2 linked regions of the Anolis sagrei genome follow. The protein of the gene in region 2 purifies or fractionates together with the protein of the main gene of each other region. This does not show direct contact. Links are inferred from orthologs where the notes say so. Each region holds a gene or a part of one and is shown on either strand. Other genes may lie near its edges.

Region 1 (8,070 bases), on a different chromosome or scaffold from region 2:
ATTGTCTAGAGGGGTAGTAGAGTATCCTTCAAAGGGTATATTCAGAAAGAGACTGGACAGCTCCTTGATGGCAATGCTTTAACTGGAGATCCAGCAGGGAGTTGGACTGCAACTCTATGACTCTATATCAAAATACATCACCATCTCTGCTTTATTTGCCTGATTCTGAAGTTTTTGGACTGCCTATTGAGACCTTCTGCTTCAACTCACAATTGCTCTGGTCTTTGCCCCATCAGCCCAATGGCAAGCAGCCTCTGTGCCATATACTGCACCCACTTCTTAATGTACCGAGGACTAATGTTTGTATAAACTCTGAAAAATTGCTGAACAGCCTAAAAGGTTAATCTGCCTATGTTGATATGACCTGAATGGCAACAAAATCGAAGGTATTTTAAAGCAATGGTTCCCATGGGGTCATGCAAACCTTCAGAAAATATTTTTTTTCTGCAGAACTCTTACTACATATATCCCTGATTTGTTGAATCAAAATATATTTTGGATCATTTTACACTAATTCAAATATGTCTCCCAATTTCCTATATAACATTCAATTTTTGAATAAATTTTACTCTGATGTTTTATGAATATTCCAAATGTCTTTTATGTTAAAAAAAACTTTGTAAGAAAGTAAAAATTCAAAAAGAAATGTGGAACCAATGTAAAAAATCGACTACATATGAATCACATGTTGTAAAAAGTTGAAATGTGCACCCAGCATACGTGAGAGCAACAGCTATAACTATTACAGAGAATGTAAATCCAGTAGAGTTGGTCTGGTGTGGTTTTATTTTAAAATGCATTTTCAATTTGATTTTTAAGGTTTTTCATGGAACCGCCCTAATATGATGCTTTTTGTGGAAACCTGAGCTTTTGTGGAGCACAGGCCCCTTTCACACAGCTGAAGAAAATCCCACATTATCAGCTTTGGCCTGGAATATAACCCTATTCAAAGCAGATATTGTGGGATTTTCTGCCTTGATATTCTGGGTTATATGGCTCTGTGGAAGGGCCCACAGTTTGGGAACTGCTGCTCTAAAGCACCTGGATTCCTCAGCTGGCTTCCCAATACAAGTACCTGCTTGGATACTGCATTGCACAGGTGTTAGGGATGCCTTGTGGGCGTGGGGATCTATCAGTACTCCCTTTTAACTTAAAAAATTCCCACACACATTGATCTTGCACTTTCTCAGGAAGGCATGGGATCCAAGCTCTATCTAAATATCAGAATGGGAGCCACATGGGAGGGCACTGTGGGGTATTTGGTCATGTTAATAGTTTTATCTAATTTTTATTTCTTACTTACTCAATTCTACTTTAATATATGAATGTTATGGGGTGTGAACTGTACTTTTTTGGGGTTGCTGTGAATTTTCCGGGTTGTATGGTCATATTCCAGAAGCATTCCCTCCTGATGTTTTGCCCACATCTATTGCAAGCATCCTCGAAGGTTGCGAGATTTGTTGGAAATTAGACACATGGAGTTTATATATCTGTGGAATGTCCAGGGTAGGAGAAAGAATTCTTGTCTGTTTGAGGCAAGTGTGAATGCTGCAACTGATCACCTTGATTAGCATTAGGAGCCCCCGGTGGCGCAGTGGGTTAAACCCCTGTGCCGGCAGGACTGAAGACTGACAGGCCGCAGGTTCGAATCCGGGGAGAGGCGGATGAGCTCCCTCTATCAGCTCCAGCTCCTCATGCGGGAACATGAGAGAAGCCTCCCATAAGGATGACAAAAAAACATCAAACCATCCAGGCGTCCCCTGGGCAACGTCCTTGCAGACGGCCAATTCTCTCACACCAGGAGTCACTCCTGACACGACAAAAAAAAAAAAAAAAAGCATTGAATAGCCTTGCAGCTTGAAGGCTTTGGCTGCTTCTTGCCTGCCTTTGGCTGCTTCCACTTGCCTTGTTTCCAACAAACCTCACAACCTCTGAGCATGCCTGCCACAGATGTGGGTGAAACGTCAGGAGAGAATGCTTCTGGAACATAGCCATACAGCCCGGAAAACCCACAGCAACCGAATCATTCCGGCCATGAAAGCTTTTGACAACACACCGTACTTACTGTTTCTATTGTTGTTTTATATGGTTTTAATGCTTAATCTGTATTTTGCTATTATGTGTTGTAAACAGCCTTGAGTCGCCGATAGGCTGAGAAAGGCGGTATACAAATATAGTAGATAAATAAAACTCTTTTTAATGTTGTGAGCTGCTTGGCATCTCAGTATTGAGATAACAGAAAGGTTTCCCCTTGACATTGATTCTAGTTGGGTCCAACTCTGGGGGTGGGGGTGGTGCTCATCTCAATTTCTATGCCAAAGAGCTGTCATTGTCCGCAGACACCTCCTAGGTCATGTGGTTCTCAACCTGTGGGTCCCCAGGTGTTTTGGCCTACAACTCCCAGAAATCCCATCCAGTTTACCAGCAGTTAGGATTTCTGGGAGTTGAAGGGCAAGACATCTGGAGACCCACAGGTTGAGAGCCACTGTCCTAGGTCATGCATGGAGCATCGTTTACCTTCCTGCTGGAGCGATACCCATTGATCTACCCACATTTGCATGTTTTCAAACTGCTAGGTTGACAGAAGCTGGGGCGAATGGCGGGAGCTCACCCTGGATTCAAACCACCAATCTTTCCGTCAGCAATTTCAGCAGCATAACCCGTTACACCACTGGTGACTCCATCTAGAGATAACAGCGGGATACAAATAAAGAGTAACACCGGCCATGGCTGAGTGCTATGGAATTCTGAAATCTGCAGTTCTGTAAGAGCAAACTACAAATCCCAGGATTCCCTAGCATGGAGCAATGGCCGTCCAAAGGGCTGTCAAAGGGCTGTCACCCTGCAGTGTGGATTAATGGAAGGCAGGCGCCGGCCTTCCTAGAGCCAAATGGCGCCCTTTGCCCTCTTCGCCTCCACAGGAGCCCGGCGAAGCTCAAGCCCACACCGCTGCTCTGCGCCCTTCGGCCGGGAGGGTCAGGGAGAGAGCCGAAGGGGAGAAAGGCTGGCCCGCTGCTCCCTCTCCCGCTCCCTGCTTCCTTCCTTCCCTCAGACTTACCGGCCGGAACGCTGAGGCGGCGGGCCCCCTTTTCTCCTGACCGCCGGCTGCGCCGTTCACGCGTCGCCTTGCGCGCTGACGTCACTTAGCAACGGCGCCCCAACTGGCCTACGCGCTGACGTCCAAAGTGACGTCAGAGGGGAGTCAGAATTCCGTAGATCTATGAAGCCATAGAATGCTGCGTTTCACTCTTTAAACTGAAAAAGGAGGCATCACTTTAAAACAAGCTTGTGGAGTTTAACTTTATAATATTTTTTATTAATCATCTTGCCTATTTGTTTTATATCTTGGTTTTAAAATTTTTATTATTTGCATAATTTGTTTTTACAATTGTACAGTTTTATATAAAGTCTTAAAAAAACGAATTCAAAGTGTGAGTTGCTGTAGTTTTTCCTGTCTGTATGGTCATGTTTCAGAAGCATTCTCTCCTGATGTTTCGCCTACAACTATGGCAGGCATCCTCAGAGGAGTCCCCGGTGGCGCAGTGGGTTAAACCCCTGTGCAGGCAGGACTGAAAACCGACAGATCGCAGGTTCAAATCCGGGGAGAGGTGGATGAGCTCCCTCTATTAGCTCCAGCTCCTCATGCGGGAACATGAGAAAAGCCTCCCACAAGGATGATAAAACATCAAATCATCCAGACGTCCCCTGGGCCACGTCCTTGCAGACGGCCAATTCTCTCACACCAGAAGCGACTTGCAGTTTTTCAGGTTGTTCCTGACACGACAAAAAAAAAAAATCCTCAGAGGTTGTGAAGTCTGTCGGAAATTAGGCAAGTGAGGTCTATATATATCTGTGGAATGTTCAGGATAAGAGAAAGATCTCTTGTCTGCTTGAGGCAGGTGTGAAGACATTGGATATTTTTATGTTTTTAATAGTTTTGTATGGATTTTATAATGTTGTTTTAAATGTTTTTCATTGTACACTGTGATCGTTATGGCATCAAATTGCTACCAACTTGTAAGTCGCCTCCAGGTTGAGAAAGGTGGTATAGAAATATAGCAAATAAATAAAATAAATGTTGCAATTGGCCACTTTATTAGCATTGAAAGGCCTTGCAGCTTCAAAGCCTGGCCGCTTTCTGCCTAGGGCAGGGGTCCTCAAACTAAGGCCCGGGGGCCAGATACGGCCCTCCAAGGTCATTTACCCAGCCCTCACTCAGGGTCAATCTAAATCTGAAACTACTTGAAAGCACACAACAACAATCCTATCTCATCAGCCAAAAGCAGGCCCACACTTCCCATTGAAATACTAATAAGTTTATATTTGTTAAAAATTTTCTTCATTTTAATTATTGCATTGTTTTTAAGTGGTTGTTTTGCACTGCAAATAAGATATGTGCAGTGTGCATAGGAATTCACGTCTTTTCAAATTATATTCCGGCCCTCCAACTATAACATTTGGAGGACTGTGGCCTGGCCCTCTGTTTAAAACAGTTTGAAGGACTGTGACCTGGCCCTCTGTTTAAAAGGTTTGAGGACCCCTAGCCTAGGGGATCCTTTCTTAGCTGGCCCCGATTAATTCCTGTCTGGAATTACCCTGCTTTTCGAGTGTTCCTCTTTATTTATCTGGCTACCAATATGAAAAAACTCTAAAATCATAACAGTAAATAAAGAGCAACACTGAAAAAGCAGGGGAATTCCAGACAAGAATCAATCAGGGACAGCGAACACCTCCCAACAAAGCATCCCCAGGCAGCAACCAGCCAGGCTTTGAAGCTGTAAGGCCACTGAATTCTAATCAAGGTGGCCAATTGCAACATTCACACCAGCCTCAAGCAGACAAGAGTTTTTTCTCCCATGCTGGACATTATTCCACAGATATATAAACCTCACTTGCCTAGTTTCCAACAGACCTCACAACCTCTGAGGATGGCTGCCATAGATGTGGGAGAAACGTCAGGAGAGAATGCTTCTGGAACATGACCATACAGCCCGGAAAACTTACAGCAACTCAATGATTCCGGCCGTGAAAGCTTTTGACCACACATTAAAATCAAAATCCTTCATAGCAAGGGAAAACGCAAAAGTCCTTTAAAAAAATAAAAATAAATAAGTGGTATCTATGGGAAGCCTTTAAAAATTATTAAATTGCTTAAAAATTCCATTATCCCAAAATCAAAGTCCTATTGTTTTTTTAAGGTATCTGTGGCAACTTTGTAAAAGAATAAAATCAAACTCATGTTTCTTTTTCAAAGGGTCTCCCTAGGAACTTCAAAACCCTTCCTTCTCTAGGAGAGGCGTGGCTTAAAGAAGGCTGCCCTCATTTGCATGCCTCGTCGCTGTTGGTCAGGACGCGTTCTATCTCGCCACTGCAAGGCGCCGCCGCGCTCGTTCGGGAGGAGGAAGGAGCCCGTGGGCCACCATGTCCGAGCAAGCTGAGCTCAGCGGTCTCACCGATGAAGAGGCCTCCAGCGCCTGCTCGGACCCCCACCCCAGCACCAAGGTAAAGGCCGGAGAGAGAAGGTTTGGCCCTGGTGGGAGGCTGCCTTGCCCGCCTCCCCCCTCCCCCGTAAAACAGGCAAGCCAAGCCCGAAACCGGGAGGGAGGGATTGCCTTTGCCAAGGCGTTTCTTCTAAGGAGCGGGGCCAAAACCACCAGGCTGGGTGTTACCTTTCACCCCAAAATTGGAGCGCCTGAACTTTAAAGGCGGTGACTTGGAGGATCAGGTTCCCTCCAGGCCTGGGGAGTGCATCTACACTGCAGAATGAGTGCAGTTTGACAACACTTGGCTCAATTCTATGGAGTCCTGAGAGTTATAGTTTCACAAGGTAGTACTTAGCTAACAAACTGACTGCTAATACTGGAACCCCCCCCCCCCACACACACACACACACACCACTTTTAAAACAATTCTGAAATGGGTTGCTGTGAGTTTTCCAGTCTGTATGGCTATGTTCCAGAAGCATTCCCTCCTGACGTTTCACCCACATCTATGGCAGGCACCCTCAGAGGTTGTGAGGTCTTTTGGAATCTAAACAAGGGAGGTTTAGATATCTATAAAAGGTCCATGATGGGAGAAAAGAACTCTTGTCTGTTGGAGGCAAGTGTGAATGTTGCAATTAATCACCTTGATTAGCATTGAAAGCCTTGCAGCTTCAAGGCCTGGCTGATTCCTGTCTGGGGAAAATCCTTTGTTGGGAGGTGTTTACTGGCCCTGATTGTTTCATGTCTGGAATTCCCCTGTTTTCAAAGTGGTGTTGACCACCTTTATTAGCCTTGAATGTCTGTTGGAAGCAAGTGTGAATGTTGCAATTAATCACCTTGATTAGCAACATTCACACTTGCCTCAACCAGACAAGAGTTCTTTCTCCCACCCTGGACCTTCTACAGATATGTAAACCCCAATTGCCTAGTTTCCAACAGATCTCTCAACCACTAAGGATACCTGCCATAGATGTGGTTGAAACGTCAGGAGAGAATGCTTCTGGAATATGGCTATACAGCCCGGAAAACTCACAGCAACCCAAAGATTCCTGCCATGAAAGCCTTCGACAATATATCCATTCTGAAGTGCCTAAGTTTCTACTGAAGTCTTCTTATAATGATGGCATTCGCATGGTCTGTTGCTGTGTACCATTGTTGCTATTTAAAAAGAACAAGCAACAAACTTTCTTTTAATTGGTTACTTCCAAACTCAAGTCCTAAGAGTATCTATAGTTCTATTTTGCCACGTGAAATCAGTTAAATGGGAGAATTTTAATAGCAGTGTCTTTCATGGTTCATAGACATTTAATAAGTTCTCTCTTTTCAGGATTTTCTGATGCAACAGACAATGTTAAGAATAAAAGATCCCAAAAAGTCACTGGATTTTTATACCAGAGTTCTTGGAATGACGTAAGTGCAAACTCCTTTTGACTCGATTGCCCCTCCACTTCATTAGGGCTTCAATAGCTAATTCTTCTCAAACTGAAGCATGCCAATCCGTAGATACGTGTGACTGGGTCCATAATTGCATGACCTATTTTCAGCACGGCTTAGGAGATTGAACACAACTTAACTAGATGGGTTGAATTCGGTTGTAGTATTCAGTTTATGAAAAAGCCTTTAGCCCAAAAAGATGCCGGTTGAATAAATGATCTGGAATTTTTGTTTTGAGTCAGTGGTCTATGGAGGAGCCCCCGGTGGCGCAGTAGATTAAACCCCGCAGGTTCGAATCCAGGGAGAGGCGGATGAGCTCCCTCTACCAGCTCCAGCTCCTCATGCGGGGACATGAGAGAAGCCTCCCACAAGGATGATAAAAACATCAAATGATTTGGGTGTCCCCTGGGCAATGTCCTTGCAGAAGGCCAATTCTCTCACACCAGAATTGACTTGCAGATTCTCAAGTCTCTCCTGACACGACAAAAAAAAAGTGGTCCATGGAAATCTATTGTTTAGGATTGGGAGTATCTCTAAAACCCTTCAGGGTACTGTTCCATTATCTAGCGGAACTCCAAAAGGGAACCTATACAGCAGTGTTTCTCAATCTTCCTAATGCCGCGAACTCTTAATACAGTTCCTCATGTTGTGGTGACCCCCAACCATAAAATTATTTTTGTTGCTACTTCATAATTGTAATTTTGCTATGAATCGTCATGTAAATATCTGATATGCAGGATGTATTTTCTTTCACTGCACCAAATTTGGCACAAACATCCGATACTCACAAATTTGAATGCTGGTGGGCTTGGGGGGATTGATTTTGTTATTTGTAGTTGCTGGGATTGATAGTTAACCAACAATCAAATAGCATTTTGAACTCCACCAATGATAGAATTGAACCAAACTTGGCACACAGAACTCCCATGACCAACAGAAAATACTGGGTGGGTTTGGTGGCCATTGACCTTGAGTTTTGGAGTTATAGTTCACTACATTCAAAGAGCACTGTGGACTCAAACAATGATGGATCTGGACCAAACTTAGCACAGATACTCAATATGCCCAAATGTGAACACTGGTGGAGTTTGGGGAAAATAGAATTTGACATTTGGAGTTGTAGTCACTGGGATTTAAAGTTCACCTACAATCA
Region 2 (7,510 bases):
ATTTCCCCCTATCCACCCCACTCTTCTCTTTCCCCTGTCCACTTTCTGACAGTGGTGGAGTGGGGGCTCCTTGAAGTGAGTCTCAGTGAGCACTAGAAATGTTATAACCCTGCTTCCCCCAAACTTCATTCACCATATGTATCCAAATACAGGTGTTACAAAAAATGGAAATCTAATTTTATTATGATGCAGAGGAGTGAATAGTAACTTTATAAGAGTAACTAGAACCTGAACATCCCCATTCAACTCAGATTAATCAAAAACCACCCAGCACCCAATTTTAGTGGCTGCACACAGATATGACTCAAATGAATGACAAGTTGTAGAGATTCCATACCATTTCCAGATGATCATTACTGACTCACCAACAATGTATTCATGTAACAAGTCCAGAGCATATGACAGACTTCTAGAAACATTAATCCACACACCAATTTCTGTCTACAAGAATAATTCACTTTATACCATACAGAGACACTAAAAACATTATATTTTGAACAAAGACCACACTTTCAAACTGGTAAATTGATAATATCAGTAACTTTCAGTTTATTCATATAGATTTCATAAAAGAAGGATAAAAATAAACTGTGATGTCTTCTTTGAAGAAAGGGCATTAAATATGTTTTACAAACTTGAGAATGATTTTCACAAGCATTCAATGGTAACAACTTTACTTTCTCTTGATACCACAAGGCTCTCGGTGTTGGCAACATAAATAGCCCTTGCACACAGACTAAGTTCATCTGACAAGGTTGTTCCAGAGTCAGTTAAATACTTTTTTCCTGTACAGATCTAACTTCATGACAAAATTTCCACCAGGTGTCAGGCTGTCATACTCCAAAAGAAAAAGATATATATCTTAAGATGCCAGCCACACAACACCCCAAAAAGATATACATACATTTAAATTTGATTAACACAGGCCCCAAATATTCAAGAGTCGGATTCCAGTTTTGAAGGGGCAAGGTTAGCTAGATACATAAAGTTGGCAATGAGCAAGAATGCATCTTAGGCGATCATTTCCTGGCAAATTCTCGTTAAAGAGAACCCATGCTACTTTTACTTCACAACTACATCTATTACTTCAGAGTATAAGAGGAAAAGCTGTAACATGTTTCCGTTTCGGAACCAAAACACAAATTTTTGGCTTCTTCCAACCCTTTAAACTAGCTCTGAACTCTTTAAACACCTGCCTCAAACAAGCAAGAGTTCTTTCTCTCACCCTGGATATTCCACAGATATATAAACCCCACTTTCCTAGTTTCCAACAGACCTCACAACCTCTGAGGATGCCTGACATAGATGCAGGTGAAATGCCAGGAGAGAATGGCTCTGGAAATGGCCATACAGCCTGTAAAACTCACAGCAACCCAGTCTTTAAATTTAGTTTGCCAAAGTATCACAAAACTGGTTGTAGAGCTAATATGACCAGGAGAAGCAAGGTGCATCTCAGGACACAAGGACCGGGGGGGGGGGGGGGGGGAATGAAGGTGTTTAAAAATTGGGGAGAGGAATGAAAACAATAGAGAAGAATATTCTGTGAAGCAGCCTCCACAGACTTGACACACAAAACACCCTGAGACATTTGCCAATTTGCAACCAACCACAATTCAAAGTGCTGGCTTTAGCATTTAGGATTTCTGGGAATTGAAGGCCAAAACATCTGGGGACTCACAAGTTAAGCACCACTGCCCTAAACAGTTCTGGCCCAGCTTACCTATCCGAACATATCTCACCCTATGAACCAACCCGGATGCTAAGATCTTCTGGGGAAGCCCAGCTCTCGGTCCCAACTCCTTTGCAGGTGTGGCTGGTGAGGGCGAGAGACAGGGCCTTGTCAGTGGTGGTCCTGTGGAACTCCCTCCCCAGTGAAATTAGATTAGCTCCCTCCAGCCTGTCCTGGCTATAGGATCAAGCATTTGGAGAGTAGTACAGTGCAATAGGCAGCTAGGAAGTGCAATAGGCAGCTATGGATTATGTTCTGGGTCTTTTGTGTTATGGTTTTGAGTTCATTTAATGTATTGATACATTATGGTTTTTATTGATTTTAATGTATAATGCATATTGTGTTTGCATGTTTATATTTATTGTGCCACTGCATTATTTCCAGGTGTTTTGGACTACAACTCCCACCATTCCTACTTGACAAACTTGAGCCCTCCCTCTGGGTATTTTGGACTTCAGCTCCCACCATTCCTAATGGGCAAACTTGGGCCCTCCCTCCAGATGTTTTGGACTGCAACTCCCACCATTCCTAATGGGCAAACCTGAGTCCTCCCTCCTGATGTTTTGGACTTCAGCTCCCACTATTCCTAATGGGCAAACTTGAGCCCTCCCTCTGGGTATTTTGGACTTCAACTCCCACCATTCCTAATGGGCAAACTTGGGCCTTCCCTCCAGGTGTTTTGGACTTCAACTCCCACCATTCCTAATGGGCCAACTTGGGCCTTCCCTCCAGGTGTTTTGGACTGCAACTCCCACCACTCCTAATGGGCCAACTTGGGCCCTCCCTCCAGATATTTTGGACTTCAACTCCCACCATTCCAAACAGCCTCAGGCCCTTTCCTTTCCCCCCTCAGCCGCTTAAGCGGCTGAGGGGGGAAAGGAAGGGGCCTGAGGCTGTTCGGAATGGTGGGAGTTGAAGTCCAAAACACCTGGAGGGAGGGCCCAAGTTGGCCCACGCTTGGCGTAGTTGCACCCTGAGAGAAAGGCGACCAAATGCAAGGCGCTGTGATTCCAGCACACACACGCCGCTTGTGTTGTGTGTGTTTTGTCTCTCTCCCTCCCTCTGAATCAAAGGTCACAAGGAAGCCGAGGCGGGAGGACGCGCCCCAGAGCGGCAGGCCTCTCTCTTCCCTGCCAGGCCTCTCTCCGCTTTGAACCTTCCTCCCTCCCTCTTCCCTCCTTCCCTCCCTCCCTCCCTCTCTCTTTCAGACCCGGCGCCTGCCTGGGTTCCGCTCGCTCACCTTCTGGGCGTTGCTCTGCTGCTGCAGCACGTTCTGCTCCACCGTCATGGCTGGAGACGGCGCTGGGCGAAAGGGGGAAGAGCGGGAGCCCGAGGAGGCGGCCGAGGCCTCTGCTGCGGGAGCCAAGCGCAGCCGTGGCGGGAGGAGGAGGACGAGGAGGAGGCAGAGGGCGCTCGCTTAGTGGCGGGTGAAGGCGGCGGCGGCGGCAGCGCCCGCCTCAACCAAACCTGCCCGGTGCTGGCATCTTGCTCGGGCTCCTCCCATCCCTCCCTCAATCCCTCCTCCTCCTTCTTCCTCCGCTTCGGTTTCCTTTTCCTGGCGGCGCCTGGATGAAAGGGTGTCTCCCCCTCCTCTCCCTCCCCGTCTTCCGCCCCCAAACAGGAACACAACACACCCTTTCGCTCCCAGGACGAGGCCAGCCCTTCCTTATTCTTCCCCGGGATCCCCAATTACAGACAGTTCCCGACGACTATTGGCATAGGTTTCCAGAAGTGACAAAGACAAAAACCTGTCTGCCTACCAGTATTTAAATAATTATTATTATTTGAAACACCACAAGATAACTCGAGACAGGGCCTTTTCTGTGGTGCCCCCCCCCCCCCGACTCTGGAACGCCCTCCCAAAAGATCTTAGACAGGCCCCTACACTGGCAGTCTTCAGAAAGAACTTGAAGACTTGGCTGTTCCGATGTGCCTTCTCAGATTAGGAATCTCCAATACCAAGTCCTGGAAGCACTTTAGTAGAACTAAGATTGCTGCACACCGCACATTGCACTTACTTTATAATCCTACATACCTCCTGCCACATCAGCACTTTTAATCTTGTTCCCATTACTCTGGCCCGGCCCAGTTTTATAGTGTCTTGATGTATTGTTTATGTTTGTTGTTATACTGCTTAACTGTTTTTAATTTGCTTTAGGTATTGTATTGTTGTATTGTGTTTTGAGGCCTTGGCCTATGTAAATCGCATCGAGTCCTTCGAGAGATGCTAGCAGGGTACAAATAAAGTTATAATAAAGTCCAGAGCAGACACTCTGCTGGCTGTTGTATTGGATCACACGTGTCAAGGACTGTATTATTATTATTATTATTATTATTATTATTATTAGAAACACCACAAGATGAGTTCACAGCAGACACTCTGCTGGCTGTTGTATTGGATCACACGTCGAAAACTTCCCAAGTGTCTAGGACTGTGTGATGTATCTGCGAATAATGCATGCAGATCCCAGTAAGGTGGCCTTTTGCAGCTGGCAGGTCGTAATTTTGTCAGCACCAATTGTGTTTAAGTGCAGGCCAAGGTCTTTAGGCACTGCACCCAATGTGCCGATCACCACTGGGACCACCTTGACTGCTTGTGCCAGAGTCTTTGCAGTTCGATCTTTAAATCCTCATATTGTGTCAGCTTTTCCTGTTGTTTCTCTTCAATCATGCTGTCACCTCGGATTGCAACCAGGGGCTGCTCAACCCATTACGCAAAGTAAGCATTTGCAGTATAGTTGATTTTGCCCAGAGGCACTCTTGGGGGAAAATAGATGTTGACATATGCAAGTTATAGTTACTGGGATGTATAGTTCACCTACAATCAAAGAGCATTCTGAACTCCACCAATGTTGGAATTGAACCAAATATTGAACCACAGAACTCCCACGACAAACAGAAAACATATATCAGTGATTGGTGGGGGGGGGGGGCAAAATACTATTTGCTTACCGTTGAAAATTACCTAGGGCCGCCTCTGATTGCAACATCAACAATCCATACTTTGTTTTTTTAACACGATCGTGAGGTCAGGAGTATTGTGCTCCAAAACTCTGTCTGAATCCAGAAGTCCCAAAGTAGCTTGACGTTTTCATTTTCTGTAACTTTTTCCAGCTTGTGATCCCACCAGTTCTTTGTTGCAGGCAGATGGTATTTGTGGCACAAGTTCCAATGAATCATCTGAGCAATGGTGTTATGCCTCTGCTTGTAGTCTGTCTGCGCAATCTTCTTGCAGCAGCTCAGGACGTGATCTATTGTTTCATCTGCTTCCTTGCAGAGTCTACATTTGGGATCTGTCGTTGACTTTTCAATTCTGGCTTTGATGGCATTGGTTCTAATGGCTTGTTCTTGGGCTGCCAGAATCAGGCCCTCCGTCTCCTTTTTCAAAGTCCCATTTGTGAGCCACAGCCATGTTTTTTCTTTGTCAATTTGGCTCTCAATTTTTGCCATGAACTGCCCATGGAGAGCCTTCTTTGGCCAGTTTTGTCTTCTGCTCTGGATTGTGTTTTTACGGTATTGACTCTTTGTCTTTTGCACTTTAAGCAGTTTACTACTATTGACTTCGCTCAATGTTGGTTCTTGACTGCCCTTCACATAATTTGGCCATGTATGTTTCTCTTCTTCTACCATTTGTTTCACTTGCAGAAGCCCTCAGCCTCCTGATTTTCTGGGCAGGTAAAGTCTGTCGACATCACTACGCGGGTATAATAAGTAGTAGATGGTAATTAAAAAAAAATTCTGTCCAGATCATCCAGCTCTTCTTACGTCCAGTTCACAATCCCAGCAGTGTATCTAATGACGGGGATGGCCCAGGTGTTGATAGCCTTGATAGTATTTCTGCCATTTAATTTGCTCTTCAAAACCTTTCTGACTCTTTGGACATATTCTTTGCTGACCACATTTTTCACATGCCCATGCTTAATATTGTCCAACTGTAGTATGCCCAGATATTTATAGGCTTCAGGCTGATTACATTTTATGCTTTGTCCATTTGGCATCTCAGTGCCCTTGCTGTGAGTAATTTTCCCTTTCTTTAATGCCACTGTGACACATTTGTCTAGGCTAAACTCCATACCGATGTACTTCATACTGATTATACCAAACTCCATACTGATGATTATTATTATTATGGCAGAATATTGTTATTATTTTGATTCTGGCAGCCCAAGAACAAGTCATTAGAACCAATGCCATCAAAGCCAGAATTGAAAAGTCGACGACAGATCCCAAATGTAGACTCTGCAAGGAAGCAGATGAAACAATAGATCACGTCCTCAGCTGCTGCAAGAAGAACGCACAGACAGACTACAAGCAGAGGCGTAACACTGTTACTCAAATGATTCATTGGAACTTGTGCCACAAATACCATCTGCCTGCGACAAAGAACTGATGGGATCACAAGCCAGAAAAAGTTATAGAAAACGCACATGTCAAGCTACTCTGGGACTTCTGAATTCAGACAGAGTTTTGCAATACAATACTCCTGACCTCATGATTGTGTTAAAAAACAAAATATGGATTGTCGATGTTGCAATCCCATATGTCAGCAGGATTGAAGAGAAAGAACTGGAAAAGCTGACACGATATGTGGATTTAAAGTTCGAATTGCAAAGACTCTGGCACAAGCCAGTCAAGGTGGTCCCAGTGGTGATCGGCACACTGGGTGCAGTGCCTAAAGACCTTGTCCTGCACTTAAACACAATCGGTGCTGACAAGATTACCATCTGCCAGCTGCAAAAGGCCACCTTACTGGGATCTGCATGCATTATTCACCGATACATTACACAGTCCTAGACACTTGGGAAGTGTCCGAAGTAGCCAGCAGAGTGTCTGCTGTGGACTCAACTTGTTGTGTTTCTAATAATAATAATAATAATAATAATAAGGCCAGGATTGAAAAATCAGCTGATGACCCAAAATGCAGACTGTACAAGGAAGCTAATGAAACCATGGATCATATCCTCAGCTGTTGCAAGAAAATCGCACAGCCGGACTACAAAAAGACACAACTCTGTGGCTCAGATGATTCACTGGTACCACCTGCCAGCAATAAAGAATTGGTGGGATCACAAACCCGCAACGGCCGTGGAAAATTAGCATGCAAAAATACTGTGGGACTTTCGAATCCAGACTGACAAAGTTTTGGAACACAATACACCAGACATCACTATTGTGGAAAAGAAAAAACGTTTGGATTATTGATATTGCCATACTGGGTGACAGTCGCATTGAGGAAAAACAACAGGAAAAACTCAGCTGCTATCAAGACCTCAAAATCGAACTGCAAAGGCTCTGGCATAAACCAGTACAGGTGGTCCCAGTGGTCATTGGTGCACTGGGTGCCGTGCCAAAAGATCTCAGCCGGCATTTGGAAACAATAAACATCGACAAAATCACGATCTGTCAACTGCAAAAGGCCAACTTACTTGGATCTGCGCGCATCATTCGAAAATACATCACACAGTCCTAGACGCTTGGGGAGTGTTCGACTTGTGATTTTGTGATACGAAATCCAGCAAATAGATCTCCTTTGCTGTGACATACTATACTTTTGTGTCAATAATAATAATAATACAGTCCTAGACACTTGGGAAGTATCCAACTTGTGGTCCAATACAACAGCCAGCAGAGTGTCTGCTGTGGACTCATCTTGTCTTTCAAATAATAATAATAATAATAATAATAATAATAATAATAATAATAATAAAAAGGTAAAGGTTTTCTCATGACATTAAGTCCAGTTGTGTCCAACTCTGGGGGTTGTTGTTCATTCAAACTACA

What was found.
Region 1: the proteins of USP25 (region 2) and BTBD9 purify together in Homo sapiens (affinity purification with mass spectrometry; 3 studies listed by BioGRID and IntAct, counting the BioPlex papers as one, with this or other methods). This does not show direct contact. The link is inferred for Anolis sagrei from reciprocal best matches to the Homo sapiens genes USP25 and BTBD9.

The regions. Positions count from the first base shown.
Region 1 is NC_090021.1:46,422,589-46,430,658, reverse strand, and holds the start of BTBD9 (BTB/POZ domain-containing protein 9), read right to left. Parts: upstream 3,165-8,070; 5' UTR 3,059-3,164; intron 1-3,058. Other genes in the region: GLO1 (lactoylglutathione lyase), read left to right, coding at 5,422-5,502, 6,811-6,893.
Region 2 is NC_090023.1:61,866,696-61,874,205, reverse strand, and holds the start of USP25 (ubiquitin carboxyl-terminal hydrolase 25), read right to left. Parts: upstream 3,244-7,510; 5' UTR 3,018-3,243; coding exon 2,970-3,017; intron 1-2,969. UniProt on the Homo sapiens protein: Deubiquitinating enzyme that hydrolyzes ubiquitin moieties conjugated to substrates and thus, functions in various biological processes including inflammation and immune response.